Drosophila melanogaster: one gene and its partner. Each later gene encodes a partner of the first gene's protein in a complex. Each region holds a gene or a part of one and is shown in the gene's direction. Other genes may lie near its edges.

The links.
Region 2: the proteins of Su(H) (region 1) and H are in contact, whole or in part, in a crystal structure (PDB 5E24), measured with the Drosophila melanogaster proteins. Residues at the interface, in NP_001285948.1 of Drosophila melanogaster: Val431, Leu434, Asn435, Leu436, Ala443, Leu445, Phe460, Val479, Glu481, Ile482, Arg486, Trp489, Gln497, Ile500, Thr512, Gly513, Leu514, Thr515, Phe516, Thr517, Tyr518, Thr519, Pro520, Glu521, Pro522; in NP_732533.1 of Drosophila melanogaster: Gly232 (codon at 9,080), Gly233 (codon at 9,083), Arg234 (codon at 9,086), Leu235 (codon at 9,089), Gln236 (codon at 9,092), Phe237 (codon at 9,095), Phe238 (codon at 9,098), Lys239 (codon at 9,101), Asp240 (codon at 9,104), Ile244 (codon at 9,188), Leu245 (codon at 9,191), Leu247 (codon at 9,197), Arg249 (codon at 9,203), Trp258 (codon at 9,230), Val259 (codon at 9,233), Ser260 (codon at 9,236), Arg263 (codon at 9,245).

Annotation. Positions count from the first base shown.
Region 1 is NT_033779.5:15,034,103-15,043,445, forward strand, and holds Su(H) (suppressor of hairless), read left to right. Parts: upstream 1-5,385; 5' UTR 5,386-5,834; coding exon 5,835-6,218; intron 6,219-6,992; coding exon 6,993-7,873; intron 7,874-7,931; coding exon 7,932-8,139; intron 8,140-8,204; coding exon 8,205-8,516; 3' UTR 8,517-9,232; downstream 9,233-9,343. Other genes in the region: yellow-c, read left to right, coding at 1,462-1,694, 2,484-2,889, 2,949-3,626; CIAPIN1 (cytokine induced apoptosis inhibitor 1), read right to left, coding at 3,770-3,883, 3,952-4,448, 4,538-4,673. UniProt on the Drosophila melanogaster protein: Transcriptional regulator that plays a central role in Notch signaling, a signaling pathway involved in cell-cell communication that regulates a broad spectrum of cell-fate determinations.
Region 2 is NT_033777.3:20,614,195-20,623,537, forward strand, and holds the start of H (hairless), read left to right. Parts: upstream 1-7,743; 5' UTR 7,744-8,301; coding exon 8,302-8,304; exon of another isoform or gene 8,305-8,389; coding exon 8,390-9,104; intron 9,105-9,176; coding exon 9,177-9,343. Other genes in the region: CG15923 (uncharacterized protein), read right to left, coding at 1-530, 599-1,557, 2,386-2,650; CG5466 (uncharacterized protein), read left to right, coding at 3,897-3,908, 4,021-4,313, 4,370-5,434, 5,668-5,888, 5,968-6,161. UniProt on the Drosophila melanogaster protein: Is a potent antagonist of neurogenic gene activity during sensory organ development. The expression of distinct cell fates by the trichogen (shaft) / tormogen (socket) sister cell pair depends on the level of H activity.

The DNA of each region.
Region 1 (9,343 bases):
ATCTCTAGTACATTGATATTTGTTAAGAGTCGTTGGAATTTGTAGTTTAATAATTGGATTGTATTTCATACACATACATACATATAGGGAACGCTGTTAGGGTAGACGTGTAAACTCGAGATCATGTATATTGTATATAGAGCATTTAGCTGCGCCTCCTAAAAACACAGAATTGAACACAGCCACATGAACAGCAACCAAATCTACAAATGCAACAAGTAATCGACATTTATTTTCGAATCCGAATCAATTATTTGCTTTTGTCCTCGAATCACAGCCGAATGAAGAACTTCTAGCCAAGTAAGACACAGTTTAGCCAAGCTAATATTGTTGTATAAATACGAGTAAATAGAAAAAGCAAAGGTTAAATAAATCCAGAATTATTTCAATGGAAACACACAAGAAAGTGAAATTCTACTGTTAGTGACAAAATAAATATGAACCACGACAAATGGTAGCAATATGCAGGAAAAACATAAGGTCAAAGTAATGAAAAACTCGGTATGTTCTTATGAATGTAACACTAACGAATTAATTTAAAGTTTAATAAAACGGAATAAATGAGAATTTTACTGAATAAAAAACACAAAACAGAATTGAACAAATATATCACAGTTATTTATTGGTTTGGGTGTTTAATGTTTATGCCATATTATTACTCTTAGTCTTAATTTGTTTTATTTGTGGGATTTAAGATTTTTAAAACAATTAATGTGCCTTTTTAGAGAAGTCAAATATTTTTAGGCTTAACTTACAGGTAACATTTTTAAATTTCAAGTTCATTTGCTTTTAAAATTTCAGACTCAATTATCAGACATTGTCCACAAATTCGTTTCTTAAAATACAAATCGTTCTTAAAAGCAACAAACATTTACTTCGCATCCCACTCGTGCTGCATTTTAAATGAGAGAATCAATAACCTTTATTCATAAATCAGAGTTTGAATTGTTTATGCAGTTTAATAATTATTAAATGAAAATTTCTTAAAATTTTTTTAAACATGTAAAGGCTTTGGCAATATTATTTTATTTTAAATACTCAAAATTCTTTTTCATTCTGTTATATATATATCAATGCAGTAATTGACCCATTAGTTACAAACTGAAAACGAGGTTCACTGTTCGATTGATTTTATTCGAGCGAGCAAAAAAGTATTTTTAAAGCATTAACAAGTAAATTCCAGATCTTCCTTCCGGTTATGTTGCTAATTTTAAGTCCCAGCCCATCGCAATAACCATTAACTTGCAGCTGGGCACTTGGTATAACAGTTTATAACTCCACGGGATCGAATATCTGTGTACTGTGAGCTTAAAGCTCCGCTTGTTTGGGATCCAAGCCAGCATATTAAGCCCGATTCCAAACTAAGCTCTTGCAGTTAGCGCGCTCAACTCGAACTGAACGGAGGTCCAAAAAAAAAGAAACGAGCAATCCAAAAAAAATCGAATAATTGAAAAATCCAAAATGAACCCACTAGGAATGTTGAGCCTGGGCTTAATGGTGTGCCTTATCGGCGCCTTCAGCCGGATTGCATCGGCCAAGCTGGAGGAGAAGTTCTCGTGGAAGCAACTGGCCTTCGATTGGCCCACTCCGGAGGCCGAGGCGGAGGCCAAGTCGAATGGCCACTACATCGTGGAGAACAACCTGCCGCTGGGCGTGGAGCGTTGGCAAAACAGAATCTTTGTCACTGTGCCAAGGTAAGTAACCAAATTCATAGACAAAAAAAAAAGAGACAACAAACTTACGGTAAGCTGTAGTTAGGTTTTCTTTTTTTTTCTTATTATTTACCTTTTTTGTTGGCTTGGTTTGTAATTAAATGTCAAGCTAGACTTGCAAAATCATCGAGCGTCAGGAGGGGAAACCGGTTTCCTCGCTGGCTAGTTAACTTTATCATTTTTTACCCCATTTGTGTATGTCTATTTTGCATTTTAAATCGTGGTTTCTAAATGCAAATCGTAACATGAGGTTAATTATAAATTAATAAGAGAAAACACATGATCGGAAAATTCTATGGAATATTATGGATCCCATAAAAGGCTAACTAGGTAACTAGTAAACAAAGTCTTTGTGACGTCACCTTTTTGGGATTTACCACCGATGCGCTTATTGGCCAAAAAGCCCCGAAAACCATTCTGCTTTTCGGGAGATATGAGTAATCAAAACAAAATTCGATTTAAAAACATTTCGAAAAATAAGATACGTAAAAAAAGTATATTTTGTTGATAATACAGCATAATTATTTAAGCTATAGTTGCCGTCAAAGTTTTAACTGATAGTGCTAAGATATAAATTAAAACTATAGCTTATATTAGACTATATCCAATCAGTCATAATAATTGCGCAGGTGAATGGTACTTTTTAATGTTATTAATTTGTTACTTGCCAGTGTCAGGTTTAAATGTAATTAGTAACTAAACAAGTCTGAAATGTAAATTTTTTAGTTAATTTATTTCTCCTCATTATTAAATGATCTACTTTCCCTTTAGATGGAAGGCTGGTGTTGCTGCCACACTCAACTACATCGACATTAATTCGACGGAGAAGTCGCCAAAGCTGCATCCGTATCCCAGTTGGGAGGCCAACAAGCTGCCCATCGATGTGCAGCCACAGGACCAAAAGACACCATCCGGTGGACGTCTGGACGCGGACAAGGCTCAAGATGCCGGCATCCAGCTGAAGGACAACTCCACTGTCATTTCCACCTTCCGAATTCAAGTCGACGTATGCGATCGCCTGTGGGTGCTCGATACTGGCTTGGCCGACATCCTGGGCAGTCCCAAGCAGATTACGCCCAATTCAATCCTGGTTTTCGACTTGAAAACAGATACTTTACTGCGCCGTTTCACCATTCCCGCTGATCAGACCAAAGAGGACTCGTTCTTTGCGAATATTGTGAGTATGCATAGGCGTATTATTTAAATTCCAAACTGATCGAATTAATCAATATTTAGGTTGTGGATGCGGACCGCTCGGAGTGCCAAGATGCCTTTGCTTACATTCCGGATTTGGGTGCCTACGGTGTGATTGTGTACTCCCTGAGGAACGACAAATCCTACCGCGTCAAGCACAACTTCTTCCACTTCGATCCTCTGCATGGTGATTTCAATGTGGGCGGCGTGAACTTCCAGTGGACGGATGGCGTTTTTGGGCTGGCCGTGGGCCCAATGAATCCAGATCACTCCAAGGACATTTATTTCCATGCCCTGGCCAGTACCAAGGAGTTCAAGGTTTCGAACCGCGTGCTGCAAAACGAATCACACGTGACCGCTGGCGATTCGTATTACGATTTTAAATACGTTGGTGACCGTGGCATGAATGGCCAGTCCACCGCCGAGGTCTTTGACCCCGAGACCGGCGTCATCTTCTATACGCAGGTGAACAAAGACGCCATTGCTTGTTGGAACATCAAGCGTCCATACACTCCGGACACCCAGGGGCTAATCGATTCCGATTCGCACACTCTGGTCTTTCCAAATGACATGAAAATCGACAATGAAGGCACTATTTGGGTGCTGTCCGACAAGATGCCGACATATTTGTACAAGGAACTCGATCCCTCGGCCGTCAACTATCGTATTTTGATGGGCCAGAACCGCGATCTCATCAAGGGTACACCATGCGAAATGTGATCACTTGGATATTTAAATCTACATGCTGTGTTTATGACGCGGTGCATTTTTGTATTTACATTATGACATTATTGTTTGTTAGTAAGTCAGCTTAATAAACTATTTGAAATGTGATTGATTGGGTATACCATGGTGAGCCTAAGTTAAATGTCGGATTTCAGGAGGTTGTCGGCCAGTTGCACCTTCTCACCGGGCTTAAAGGCGGGCATGCCCAAATAGGGGCAAGTGGAGCAGCGGAAGGCGTCGCCGAGATAACACTGTGCATATAAGAAATCAGTTATAATCGAGGTTAATGCTAACTCACATCGGGGTTAAGAGAACTCACATTTCCACAGCTTGACTTGGCATTCTCGGTGGCCTTCTGGCTCTGTTTTTCAGTCTCCAATTCCTCGGCCAGCCCGCAGGAGCAGTTTTTGCACGCCTTGCGCTTGCCCGTGGTGCTACAGACACGCAGACCAGCCGGATCCGGCTTCTGTTTGTCTTCCTCGTCCAGCAGCTCCTCCTCATCGATCAGTTCCTCATCGTCACCGCTTATCTTCCACACATTGACTGCACTGGCGTTCTTCTTTGCGAATGACAACCTGGCTGAGGATCCTGTCTCGTAGCCAGGCTTCTCGGCGGTCAAAGCATCTGGAGAGTCCTCGCGACAGTTTATGAATCCGGATAGCTTGATCTCCTGCAGCAAACTAGCCGCCGGACCGATGTAGGACACCAAATGCAGTTTGCCACTCGGTTTCAGCATGTGCAGCAGTTTTACGTAACTGTCGGTCAGCTGGGCGCACTCGATCACAATCAGGTCGAAACTGGAGTTGGCATAGGAAGCTGTAATGCATAAACATCACTGATTTTAATCTGCTGACTCACTGGCTAGTCAAAAACAGCACACACACACCGCACCGCACGCAACTTACAAAACGAAAGGCGGTGCACATTTTCCAAAGCCACATCGCCGCCAGTGGCCGCCTTTAGTTGCTCCACGCGCTTGTCCAAGTCGGCGCTGTCCGTCCATATGTATAGGGATTTTTGTAGACCCTTAAAGTTCTCCATTGTGGATGTGTTTCTAGAATATCTCAAAAGTTCAAGCACCGAACGGAACCGATTTTTGATTTCACAAGTTAGATATGGCAATGCACCGAAAATCGAGCGGTGATATCGATTGTACCTGCCTATCGGATTGCAAATGATATTCAGTGATTGTAGATTTTTCCACTTTACACTGTGACTGCTAAAATATATGAATAACTAAGTGTACTCCACCAGATTCGTTTTTTAATGAGTTACAGCTTACATTCTGATACATAATTAACAGCTTTTAGTTGCATATTGTGTGTTTCTGCCACTAAACCTATTTAAACGGTTACATTTAAGCCTAAAGTCGCGAATTATCTTTTAAATTCACCCATGTGTACTTTCCCACGGCCCGTTTTAAAAATGCATGGACAGTTAGACAAGAAGGTTGGTAGTTTGTACCTTGAATTTTAAATGTGGGCGCTCAAAATCGAAGTGTTCAATGAAAATCGATACCTTTCGCATCAGTTAAAAGTATTTATAGATATAAGAAATAATATCTTTAACAGTGATGTGATGGGAATAAATATACAAATGTATTCAGAAACTGCAAAGTTAAAACAAAATATATTAGCTACTCCAAATTGGCTATAAAATAACCAAATGCCCACTGCCATCCAAATCCAACCAACAGTGCTGTGAAGCGACAAACATATCGCCGGTAGGCAGCGACTATCATAAATAAGCGCCTATCGGACTATCGATACAACATCAACATCCTCAGTCGCTTTTTTAGTTGTAGCATATTATAAATATAACTCGAGCGCTAGTTGCAGCCTTAAACAGAAGCCAGCCGCCACTACCGCTAGTCGCTAGTCAAGATCTGCTCGAAACGCTGAAATATGTGTGATTAGTCGTGAATCGCAGCTAGCCGCAAATCCAGCTTGAGCTACAACAACAAAGCCAATCCGCGGTTAAGAGGAAGAGAGTGCGTGAGAGAAACGACAGCTGCTCTGCGTGTGTGTTTGTGCAGCAGGATAACAAAATAGAAAACATACAGCAGCAACAACAACAACAAAAACAGCACCAGCGAACAGTGTATAAAGTGCCAAACGAATTTGCCAAATAGCCAAAAACGAAATAATAGAAAAGATCCAAACAAAATTCCAATAAGTTCAATGCAAGGAGACATGTGCATAAATGAAGAGCTACAGCCAATTTAATTTAAACGCCGCCGCCCCGCCCGCCATTGCCTACGAAACTACGGTTGTAAATCCCAACGGCTCACCCCTCGATCCTCACCAGCAGCAGCAACAACAGAGCCAGGATATGCCGCACTTTGGACTGCCCGGTCCGCAGCCGCCGTCGTCGCAGCAGCAGCAACAACAATTGCAAGTGCACCACCAACAGCAGCAGCAGCAGCAACAACAACAACAACAACAGCAGCATCAACAACAAATGCAGATGTCCTTGCTGCCGGGTCCTTACCGGCCACACATCGAGGAGAAGAAGCTCACGCGGGACGCCATGGAGAAGTACATGCGCGAGCGCAACGACATGGTCATCGTTATCCTGCACGCCAAGGTACGAAAGGATTTCCACTTTTAAGCCGGTATTATCAGGTGCTTGGTCTGGATTTAGTATTCAAGATATTCTAAAACATACAAGGGAACTCCTGAGTCTTAAGTCTTAATTAAATTATTTGAAGCTTGAAATACATTATTTCAATATTACTAAAAATATATTAACCCAAACTGGAGAAACGTAGGATATCCTAACTTTCATTTAAATTAGAAACTTGGTCAGTTTTGTACGTCGATTTCCTAAATTATTCGATTTTTTAGATTAAATAGATTAAATTCAGATTTTCTTTCTATTTCAAGTTTAACGATGTATCCTTTCTTTGAAAATTACTTGTATGCTTTACAAGATATTTATTTTTTTTTTATAATTTAGTTTTAATCTAATCGGTCAGTCCGCAACGCCAAAACCACACCCACTATTTAAAGGTGCTAGTGTTTCCATTGTCCACTTTAAAGTGTTACATTTTTGCGGTTTTTGGCGAACGCAGACATGAAAATGGAATAAAATTGTCGCGGTTGCTTTTAGCGGTGGCGATCTTCAAGCGACGACTGCCGCCAAATGGGAATCCTTCACACTCGACTGCCCGCAAATTGAGCAACGCGAGCGCGGTCCAGTCCGCAATGAAAATAATTGAAATTAATTACAGAAAATTAACAAAGCTGCATTGCTTGCGGTTTTGATATGATTTTCCGATAATCTGGACGGCAATTTGTACTAATTGAATTTTCCCTGCACCATCGTGCGCCTCTGTCTGTCTGTCTGTGTGAATTCCAGGTGGCCCAAAAGTCCTATGGCAATGAGAAGCGATTCTTTTGCCCACCGCCGTGCATTTATCTGTTCGGAAGTGGCTGGCGCCGGCGGTACGAGGAGATGTTGCAGCAGGGCGAGGGCGAACAGGGAGCACAACTATGCGCGTTCATCGGTATCGGGAGCAGTGACCAGGATATGCAGCAGCTGGATCTCAATGGCAAGCAGTACTGTGCGGCCAAGACGCTCTTCATCTCGGACTCGGACAAGCGAAAACACTTTATGCTGTCGGTGAAGATGTTTTACGGAAACGGTCATGACATTGGCGTTTTTAACTCGAAACGGATCAAGGTTATATCCAAGCCGTCCAAAAAGAAACAGTCGCTAAAGAATGCCGATCTGTGCATAGCCAGCGGCACCAATGTAGCCCTGTTCAATCGCCTGCGTTCCCAGACTGTCTCCACCCGTTACCTTCACGTGGAGAACGGACACTTTCATGCGTCGTCAACACAATGGGGAGCTTTTACGATACACCTGCTGGATGACAATGAGTCCGAGTCGGAGGAGTTTCAGGTGCGCGATGGTTACATTCATTACGGAGCCACAGTCAAACTGGTGTGCTCCGTAACGGGCATGGCCCTGCCACGTCTGATCATCCGGAAGGTAGACAAGCAGATGGCCCTGCTGGAAGCCGACGATCCCGTTTCTCAGCTGCACAAATGCGCCTTCTACATGAAGGATACGGATCGGATGTATCTCTGTTTGTCGCAGGAGAAAATCATACAGTTCCAGGCCACGCCGTGCCCCAAGGAGCCGAACAAGGAGATGATCAATGACGGCGCCTGCTGGACCATCATATCCACCGACAAGGCTGAGTACCAGTTCTACGAGGGCATGGGTCCTGTGGCGTAAGTATAGCTTACTTACAACTCAATGGATTAGTTTTCATTTCGTGTTTTCTTCCAGTTCTCCAGTCACTCCAGTGCCAATCGTTAATTCCCTTAATCTCAATGGCGGCGGGGATGTGGCCATGCTAGAGCTGAGTGGCGACAACTTTACGCCGCATCTGCAGGTGTGGTTTGGCGATGTGGAGGCGGAAACCATGTACCGCTGCACAGAGACATTGCTATGCGTGGTGCCGGAGATTTCACAATTTCGAGGCGAATGGCTTTGGGTAGGTTTTCCAATGTAAATCTGTTTAATACGCGCTATAAATTTTACTTTTAATGGTCCTTGCAGGTACGTCAGCCCACGCAGGTGCCCATTTCGCTGGTGCGCAACGATGGAATAATTTATGCCACCGGTCTGACCTTCACGTATACACCTGAACCAGGTCCTCGGCCGCACTGCAATACACAGGCCGAGGATGTGATGCGAGCGCGACAGAACAATAACAATAATAACATCACTAGCATTAGCAACAATAATAACAGCAACAATGCGGGATCGCCGGCAGCCGGCGGTGGCTTGCAACAACAACAGCAGCAGCATCAGGCTCTGCCCTCCATCTCAGAAGTGCAATGGAATAGTCATGGTAGCGGCTTATCCTGAGTGCAGGATTATTGCATCGCACACATATGTATCCTAAGTTATTTATAGTTTTTATCGAAGACCTTAGTTTGTAGATTGACAATTTTTCTCATACTAATTTTCAACCCCTCGTGACGTAAACCAAAATGTGTCCCCTTCTCTCTAAAGTGAATCATACTTTACACATGTATCTAGTGCTAGTTCGGAACCAATAGAATTGTAAATGACACATAAAACTCTGTACATAACTCGAAAAGCTCACTGACATACATACATACATTTGTATGTGCATGAATATACCTTTACACAAAACATGTAATTCTAGTTAAATATACAATTGATGTAAGTTTATAGACGATTTTTAGATGCGGTTGAAATATTTATGATTTTCTTTGCTATGAATTTCCAAAGATCTAAATGAAAAAAAAAAATACTGCGAAATGCATCGGAAATTTTTATTATACACAAGCCAGTAGCCACGCTACAAAAACATTCCATTTCCCTCTTTAGCTTTCTAAAAAGTCGAAGACAAAGTCAAAAAGGGAAAAATTTGTTTCTGTACATACAGTTTTGTTGCATTTTTTTATTAACTTTGGAAATTCGTAGCATTAAAAATCCCAATAAAATATTTTGTAAAATAAAATCGCAACAAGACAAAACAGCGATTTATTTAAGTGTAAGCGAAATGCCTAACATAAATAAAAAAAAGAAATCCCAAATGATGACAAAGAATAATCAAATCATGTCAGCTTATGTTTTTGGTTTAGCGTGATTCTTCTGGTTCACCATTTTTCCTGTGGCCTAAGGTGGAGCGCTGGGGAGGATTGGTTGCCTTAAATTGCTGTGGG
Region 2 (9,343 bases), on another chromosome or scaffold:
AGGCGAGAATTGGAGGCTTGCAGCAGTAGGAGCAGCAGAGTAGTCGCCAGCAGAGCATATGCCACATTTCCGGCCAGCTGCAGGAGAAATTCCATAAGACTGCTCATCTGACAGAGGTCCGCCTTCCGCCTTCTTCTCAAATTCTGGAGACGGAAGACAGCAGCTGCAAAGGCCAGCAAAAGGAGCAGCGGCAGCGCCACCTCCAAGATCAACCAATCCCAACCACGTTTTACTTGGTCGTAGCTAATCCTCAGGGTGAATGGGTACAGTTGGGAGAGCGATATATTTCCCGATCCCATCTCTATGTGTCGGTATCGCAGGCGAATGAGCGGCAGACCCACTCTATCCGGCTGATCCTTGTCCAGCGTATAACGAATTTCGATGTCCTCCACATATCGTAAGGAGTAATATTGCTGCAGCTTGTGGGCATCCTCGTAGCGCGGCATGGTCTGGTGAAGATGACTATCCCGCGGCGAGGCGGAGATCAGCTGGAAACGTTTCACCAACTGCCACTCCTCCTGCTGGGGTCGCTGGACAGATGAAGAAATTACGGAACTGAGATTAAGTTCTATCTAATTGAGTACATCACACTCCTCACCTGGTTTTCCGGCGTCAGGGTCTCGATGAGTACAGGTAACTGGTGAAGCAAATACTGCCAGTTACTACTGAAGTTTAGAAACACGGTGAGAAACTCGGCGTTGTGCCGTTGGTTGGCCAGGTCAATGAGACGCTCTAGGGTCAGCTGACAAGATACCTCCGACTCCCTCTTGGGTAGAGCCACTCGGAGGCTAGGCGCCTTCTGTTGGCACATGTTCAGCATCTCCGGATGAAAGGCACCCCACCGTTTGAGTCCGCCATCTAGACCAAATGTGGTGCTAAAAAGGCGCAGCTCCTTGCGATCCGGCAGCTGAAGCGTCTTCGAAAGCAGCTCCTTGGTAGCCCGACCCTTCTTGTAGAACAGGAACGGCTGCAGGGATCGCACCTGTTCGCCGGAGTGGGCATACTTCATGACCACATCAGAGACCTGGGTAAGCAGGAAGGCGCTGCAGGGCGAGTGCTTTTCCAGGGAGAAATGGGAAAGCACGCACAGATTGGCCAGTTGCTGGCAGGCGGTATCGTTGCGCAGTGTCAGGCAAAAGAAGGCCACAAACTTGAGCTCACCAAAGCGGCTGGGTGCACTTGAATCCGGCGTGGTTGTCGCCTGCCAGAAGGCGTTGTAGTGCACATACGGTCGGAGCAGGGTGCTAGCCAAGCAGAAGTCCTGATACCGGAAATTGTGCGTCATATCGCAGGAATGGCAATCTCCCGCTCTGCTCATCGGATTTGTATGGGTCAGTATGATGCCGGAAATGAGTGGATGCACTGGCAACTGACTGGCGAAGGCTGCCGTGGAGTTCAGATACCGATAGCTGCACTGATTGGTAGGTCGAGGCTGGGGTAGCCACACCGAAGTGCAATTGTCGCTCCTGTCCGGAGTGCAAATCTCATCGCAGGTGGGCCACGTCTTGCCGCGCTCATAGATGGACAGATGACCAGCCGGGCACTTGCAGGTGAATTCTGGGTGGGCAATAAACAAGAAGCAGGTGAATTCTGGGTGGGCAATAAACAAGAAGCTTTTATTTCAGTAACATAGTAAAACTTTCTTCTAACCATACGAATGCATATCCTATATTCATAGATCTATCATATGATCAAGGATTGAAAATGTATATAAACTAATCTATTCATTTTGTCACAATTATCAATCATTTTAAGATATTATATATATAAAAACAGTATACAACTTTCAATTCAATTCAAAGCGAAACTAAAAAGTTTATCTTGTTTTTTTTTTGTATAAATACCCCTAAAACGAGTTTTAGTTTTCTTACACAACAATGTCCTTATTATCTGCACTATTTATACATATTTTAAATAACTGATTACAAATACTTTACTTATTAAATCAAACAACAGGAAATCGTTGAGGAAATCTATTAAGAATACCAATAGTTTAATTTATATTAGTTCGAAATATTAAAAATATATTAATATATTAATATTAAAAATTGTTTGATTATAGTATTTCCTCTTCGAGATCGTCAAAATAAAATTTGTGTGAAGTTTGCAAATTGTGCTAAGTGACAAATACTGATGTGAATAAATCTTAAGTATTCGAGGTCTGTGACCTATAAAAAATATATTAATCGCAAAAAGCCTTGTCGCTTTCAATGACAAAACCTTAAACCAATAAAATGTTTAAATAACCGAATATTAAATTTGGTATATACAATATTACAGCTCTTTTGCAGCTGAAAATGAATACTTTCTCTTGAGTAGCATGCAGGTCCTTGCCCCTTCACATGGCACCCCTTTTGGTTCTGTTTGATCAATACTACCACTCACTGTCGGGTTGCAGTTTTCCTTGAACCCCATCTCCGCCGGCGACCTCATTGCAGGGCACACAGTCGAATAGGTTGAGGTTGTAGAACTCGTTCTTGAGGCACTGCGTCGGATTCTGGAAGCGAAAAGTGTGCGGCGTTGGCAGCTGCGAGGGATTTGTGGCCGCGGTGGTCAGCGAGCAGATGGGCACTGGAATTTGTAAGGCGATCCAGAAAAGAGCACAACACCAGTTGATAGCCCGGGAGAAGCACCTCATCCTCATCCTCATCCTGTTCTGATTTTAGGAGTCGCTGCTCGCTCTTCAATATTCGAAAGGGTACTGAATTCCCTGGAGCGATTGCAGCTGCAATTTGGAAGTCGCCCAGGAAGGCAAGTAAACAAGTGGACTCGTGGAGGGAGTGGTGTTGCTATAGCTACCCAACCCCCCGATTTTCGCCGGGCACGCATGCAAAATGGCCATTATCCGGAGGGTTGGCTCAGGTGCTTACTCCCTCTCGGCCGAATGTCCTTTGACCAGGAGGCCACCTTAAGTGTAATGAGTCCTCGAGACTTTTTACCTGCTGGGTTTCCTTTCATATTCCAGCACTTGCGTGCTCAAAATTGTGATTGCCATCATTATTAGTTACTTTCTTAGGATTTTGCATACAATTTGTAGGTATGTAAATTAGCAAGGACTATTTTAGAAATTAAATCCTACGTAAAGGAATTATTTGTTGGGTTACTTAATTAATTATTCTCTCTAAAGAGACCATTTGTATAGTCAATTCTTTTGCACTTCTACGTTTTTAAATGGGTTTGAATGGTTTTTGCAAAAATTAAATTAGTAAGATAATAATAAATAAAAAATAAAAATAAATAATTCAGATTGTATAATAAGCTAAATCGCTTTTACAATTATTTTCCTATATTATTTATTTTTTCAATTCACTTCTAAAATATAACTTTTTTAATGTGGTAGCTATAGGATATAATATAATATAAGCTCATACTAATCATTATATTTGTATTTAAAAAACAAATAGATTTCAAGCACACTTTTTTATTAGCTTAAAAAAGAATATTTGGCAGTTAGATGCATTAGAATTTGAGCTCTGCGAAAGCTAAGACTATTGGCTGTACTAATCAAATCTTAAACAGTTGCAAAAAAATATCTATATGCCTTAAGTAAATTTTTAAGCGCATTAACAATGTTTATGTTTATGTTTATACGCCAACAAATGTTAAATTATTTGCTTATGTATATGAAAGTCGGGCATAAAGCTGTCTGTCGTTTTTAGAGCTTTTGGCCGCGACGTGCGACGGTCACACTGATGGCCTCCCCCACTTCTTCCTTGCAAGGACAACACAATTAGGCGGCGGACACATACAGTTTTTTTCCCCCGATCCGTGGCCGCCAGTTAGCCCAGTCTCGTCCCCCGACCGACGAGTGATTCCCGACAGCAACCGTTGGTCATTCGAATCCAGGATGCTGCACTGGCGCCGCACAGATTAGATATTCGCAGTCCCAGACGAAAATGAACAATTTGGTAAGTGGGCGGTGACGGCGGTGGCAGTGGAGGTAGCAGGGCTCGATTTCAAGCTCAGATCTTGGGTGTCTCTGTTTCCGATTGTGTGAACTAATCACTGCGATCCTTGCAGGAGCACTCCAAGCATTTCTATCCTGATAACTACAAATTGGATCTGTCTGAGACCATGAAGGCGGCTCTGTCCAAAGGACCCGGTGGTGGTGCCGGTGGCGGGGGCGTGGCAGGCGGAGATATGCTGCCGCAGCCAAATGCTGGAATGCCAGGAGTGGGCTATGTTACGGAAAAGCTGTACATGCTGCTGCAGCTGTATCTGCAGAACAAAGGCTGGAATCCCAGTGCTGAGCTGCTGCAGTGCTTCAGCGATCTCAAGGACAATGCCATGCTGCCCAGCGCCGCCTATCTGCAGTAAGTAGGGGTTGTGGGTTTTTTCAGATCCGTTCTCATAACTTCCTCGTTTGCAGAGTCCTGGCCAACCGCTTAACCCTGGACTCCCAGGGACGGCTAATACTGCGCGACAATGGAAAGATTGTCTTGCCCTTTGAGCATTTTGCCAATGCGGTCATGCTAAAGCACATGTCAGGTCCGCACGGCCTGCACCTTAGTGTCGATGCCACGGTGAGGGCAGTCATTGAGTCGTACACCATCGGTCGGGATCAGTTCGGCATGGAGAAAGAGTTCATCATCGAGGTGGTGCAGTCCTGCCCAAGTCCCGCATGTCGCTACTATAAAAACCACATGGGAATTTCGCCCATGCCGTTCATGGAGCAGCAGTATCCGGGCGTAAACACTCCCGAGTTCCTGCAGCGCTTGGCGCATCTGCCGCCTGGGGGAGCAGCCGGATCTGGGCCAGGAGGCTCCGCAGCCGGATCCACCTCCAGCGTGGCAAGCAGCTCGAGTTCGGCGAACGTGGAAATCGATCTGTCCAAGTCGACGGGCGCGAAGGTGCCCCAGGTGCCGGTGCCGCCGCAGTTGCAGCACCTGACCAAGCAGCAGCAGAGCACTCTCCAGACGCAGCTCTCCCAGATCAGTGCTGCCGCCGCTCATCATCAACAACAACAACAGCAGCAACAACAGCAACAGCAGCAGCAGCAGCAACAACAACAGCAAGCAGCAGCCAAGCACCAGCAGCAATTGACTGCTGCCCTCATCCAACAGCAAAACCGTGTCCTCGCCCAGCAAAATTTAGAGAAGCTTAGCAACCACCTCAGTCCGCTGGAAAAGCAGCGAGTTTTCGCCCAGCTGGATCCAAAGCACTTTGATCCCATGGCCGTTGCGGCTGCAGCCGCCAATCTTCAAATCCAAGGCCTGATGCAATCGCAGGCAGTGGCTGCCGCCGTCGCCGCCAATCAGCAGACTCCGGCGGCTACGACTACATCTGCTGCAGGAGGAGCTGCAGCCGGCCCGCAGGCCCATCACGGACACCATCCCTTGCCACCGCCATCGCAGTCGCCACACTCATCCTCTTCGTCTTCCTCTCATTCCTCGTTGGACCAGATTACCCACAAGAACGTCGCCGACTCCTTGCGGTGGGTGAGATTTATTAGATATTATTATTTTAAATTCTTTTTCTTGGCAAAACATGTGTACAAAGACTTATTTTTTTATTAAAACAAACAAAAAATATTGTATGTATTTGATAAGTAACGAATTAGGTTGTTTACAATATTATTTATTATTTGCTATATGTAAAGTAAATTGATCACTTTTAAATGTTTGCTTTAGGCCCTTAATTGAATTCATTTAACTTTTCCGATTTCAGTTCCAATCTGGACTCAATAGAATCGAATAAGGATCTGCTGGCGCTGCACAACGGAGCCTGGGCCACCGGCGATGCCAATCGAATGGATCACTTGGCCGTGGGTCAGGACAAGATAGTGCGCATCTTTGCGGAGCTGATGCGAAACATGTCGCGGATGAAAACCTACATACGTCCCTCGATGTGCAAGCCCTACGGCAAGCAGAGTGAGAGTCTGCAGAAAAGTGAGTACCTTGGCTGGGAACCGGTTTCGCTATCTGCGATGCTGACCGCCTCCTGCTTGCTCGTTCTCTTCCCCGACAGCCCTCATGGACACCATTCAGATCGTGCAGACGCTGCGCAACTGCCTCCCAGCTCCTCACATACCCGTGTCGTCCTGGAAAAGTGAGAGCGAGGGCAACGTGGGATCAGGAGTGAGCGCGGGAGTAGGAGTGGGTGTCCCTGCAGGACTTAACCTGGGCGCCGCCTTGGGTCTGCCATCGGGCAACATGCACTAGATGCGGGCTGGAGCTCATCGGGTAGCATGCAATAGCTCCGGATTTATCCACTCACATTCTTCCAGCAGTTAGAGAACACTTAGTACTTACACGCAGAGAAAAGCATAGATGATAGGCATAGCAATTTACCCTCGTAGGCGTGGCTCCAGTTTTCCTTTTAGCAATTACGTGCCATGTTCAACACAAGACTTGATTTCACATTTTCCACATTTGACTGACCTTTAGGCATACATATGTATCGAATCCCGCGGCTTGAATTTGATTCCCATCACTCTTTGTTTTCCAGTTTGGCATGCAAAATTATGAAGCAAATCGGCAAATTAGTTAAACAATTGGCAAAACGTCTGTGATATTTGAATTATGTTGGCAAACGGAAGACAAAACTAAATTTAATTTATTACGTTGTGTGCCCTCTGTTGTAATGTCTTACTTTTTACTTTGTGCAATATCTACTAAGCATATATTCTTAGCCGTTCTCGTGCAATCGACGACTTTTCGCCCATATCAAAAGCAACTCGAATGTAGCCTATACTTAAACTAACCTACTGATAATCGGACATGATAGACGCGTAAGACTTACATTATATTTTGCATTAGGACTTCAGAGTATCTGAATAACAATTGGCGGATGGCCGCGGTGGCGAAAGCGACATTACGAGTTGTGTTTAAATTTAAGAAGCTGAAGAAGGGTTGTACTCCGCATGCAAGGGCTATTTAAATATATATTTTAACCCGCCCGAGCTCACCATTACCAGAAATTCGATAAACGAGCAAACAGTATTATACGCAATAAAAAGACACCTGCAACCATAAGTATTTACCTAGCTGATGTGTGGGAATTTATCGTAACATACCATATTATCGCTTAATGTTTAACTTCTGGACTTAATAATAAATAAATATTTTATTCTACGACAAAGAAGAACTTTTCAATGTAACATTATTAACTGCTTTAAGTCATATCCTTAAACTTTCGCCTTGAAAATCTTTAAAACCCTACAGGTATTCCAAATTAATAATCTCAGGTGCTAGAAATTTAATTAATATATTTTGGAAACAGCATAAATTAGTGAAAATACAACATTGTTTTAATCAAACATTTTTAAAAGCATGTTTTCGGTTGCAAAGTTTTCCAATTTCAATCCTGAAATTAAAGTTGAGTTGAACAATTGCTATAAAAAGCGACCATTTATTACGTTTTATAAACTGTCCCGATTGTGATTTTAGTTGTTTATTTTATTTCATATTTAAAACCGTTACTATTTTAAAAATCGTTCGCTAAAGATTGTGCTTTTAAGCATTGATAACTATCGCTAATTGCCAGAATTCGTAATCTTATTTGACTTGAATTGTAAAAATATAGGATTTAGGATTTTTACCAAATAGATGTAGTTCAAAGAACACAATTCTTTTTATTATTAAGCATTTTATTTTGGGAGTTCCTTGCACTAGCTTTTTGCAGCGACCTGTGTGTAAGCTTACATTGAGATAACATTAATGTGAACGTGCAGCGAATGCAGCACTATAACATTGGCCAGTGGAAACATGATATTTGCTAGCATGCTGACTGGCGCCGTGGATTTTGACGTTCTTAGTTGACGGTCACACAGCGCACCGAGCTGCGTTTTTCGTTGATAATTTTTAAATTTATTTATTAGTTTATTGGTTGGAAATAGAGCTGCCCCCAACTGCCCGCTGACCACGGAATTATCGGTCCGGTCCACCGACCTCCGCTTTCACACACTATTCGGCAATCGATATATACGCTGACGGTAATTGGAGAACGTTTTTTCCATTTTATCTCCACCTTGTCCGCACTTCGTTTTGTGCTCTCTTTGTGCGCTGCCTCCGCTTAACATTTGGGCCTGTAAGAAACACATATAAGCAGAACGGCCCGCCGTGTGTGCCTGTGAAATTGGTTAAATAACGTACAGTGGAATGGGCCAATGGCCAAAATGCAATAAGAATATGTGTGTGCAATAAAAATAGGGAACGGTACCGTGCCCCAAAACATGAAAATGGTGCTAGACGCTCCTAACGCCGTGCCGAGCTGGCATATTTTGCTTAGCGACGCCGTCGGCTCCGTTTTTCCCGGCCGCGAACTTTGCGCGAGGAATTTACAACAAAAACAATGAATTAAATGGTATTTAAATTGTCCATATAATGCGGTTTGGAAATGCGAAATTGTGCCTAACTTGCCCAATGCAAACGAATGTTTCTCTTTGAAGGCCCTGCTTAATGACGTCACAAGCGTAGCAGAGTGCAACAGACAGACAACAATGACCGATGAGCATAAAAGTAACATTAACAGTAACAGCAGTCACTCCAGCAACAACAACAACAACGGCAGCAGCAGCAATAACGACAACAACAGCAACGACGACGCAGCAAGTAGCAGCAACAGCAAAAACAACAACACCAGCAACGAGAGCAGCCACAGCAACAACAATACTAGTAGCATAATTGCAGAGGCGGCCGCCAAGTTTCTACTGAAAAATGGCCTAAACGGCAGTAGCAGCACCAGCTACCCCCCTCTGCCACCGCCTCTGCCCGCCAACTTAAGCAGGACGACCACGCCCACGACAACGACAACGCCCTCATCCTCCAGCTCCACCGCCTCAAATGGCTTTTTGCCGCATGCCAAGACGCCCAAAAGTAGTAGCATTATGGCTGCGTCCGCCGCAGTGGCAGCCAGCGTCGTTGGAGCTACTGCGTCCAAGCCCACCATCGATGTCCTGGGGGGCGTCCTGGACTACAGTTCCTTGGGCGGAGCTGCAACAGGCTCACTGCCCACCACTGCAGTAGTAGCGGCGGCAGCGGGAACAGCGAAGATCGGCAAGGGAAGCAACTCCGGCGGAAGCTTTGATATGGGCAGGACACCAATATCGACGCACGGCAACAACAGCTGGGGCGGCTACGGTGGTCGTTTGCAGTTCTTTAAAGGTAAGTATCTTGGTTTATTTATACCGAATCAGAGCAGTGTAAAGAAAACCATTTTTTAACTATTCTGCGTAGATGGCAAATTCATATTGGAACTGGCGCGGTCCAAGGATGGCGATAAAAGCGGCTGGGTTTCGGTCACGCGCAAGACCTTCCGCCCTCCATCGGCGGCCACCTCCGCAACTGTGACCCCAACGTCGGCGGTGACCACAGCGTATCCAAAGAACGAGAATTCCACATCG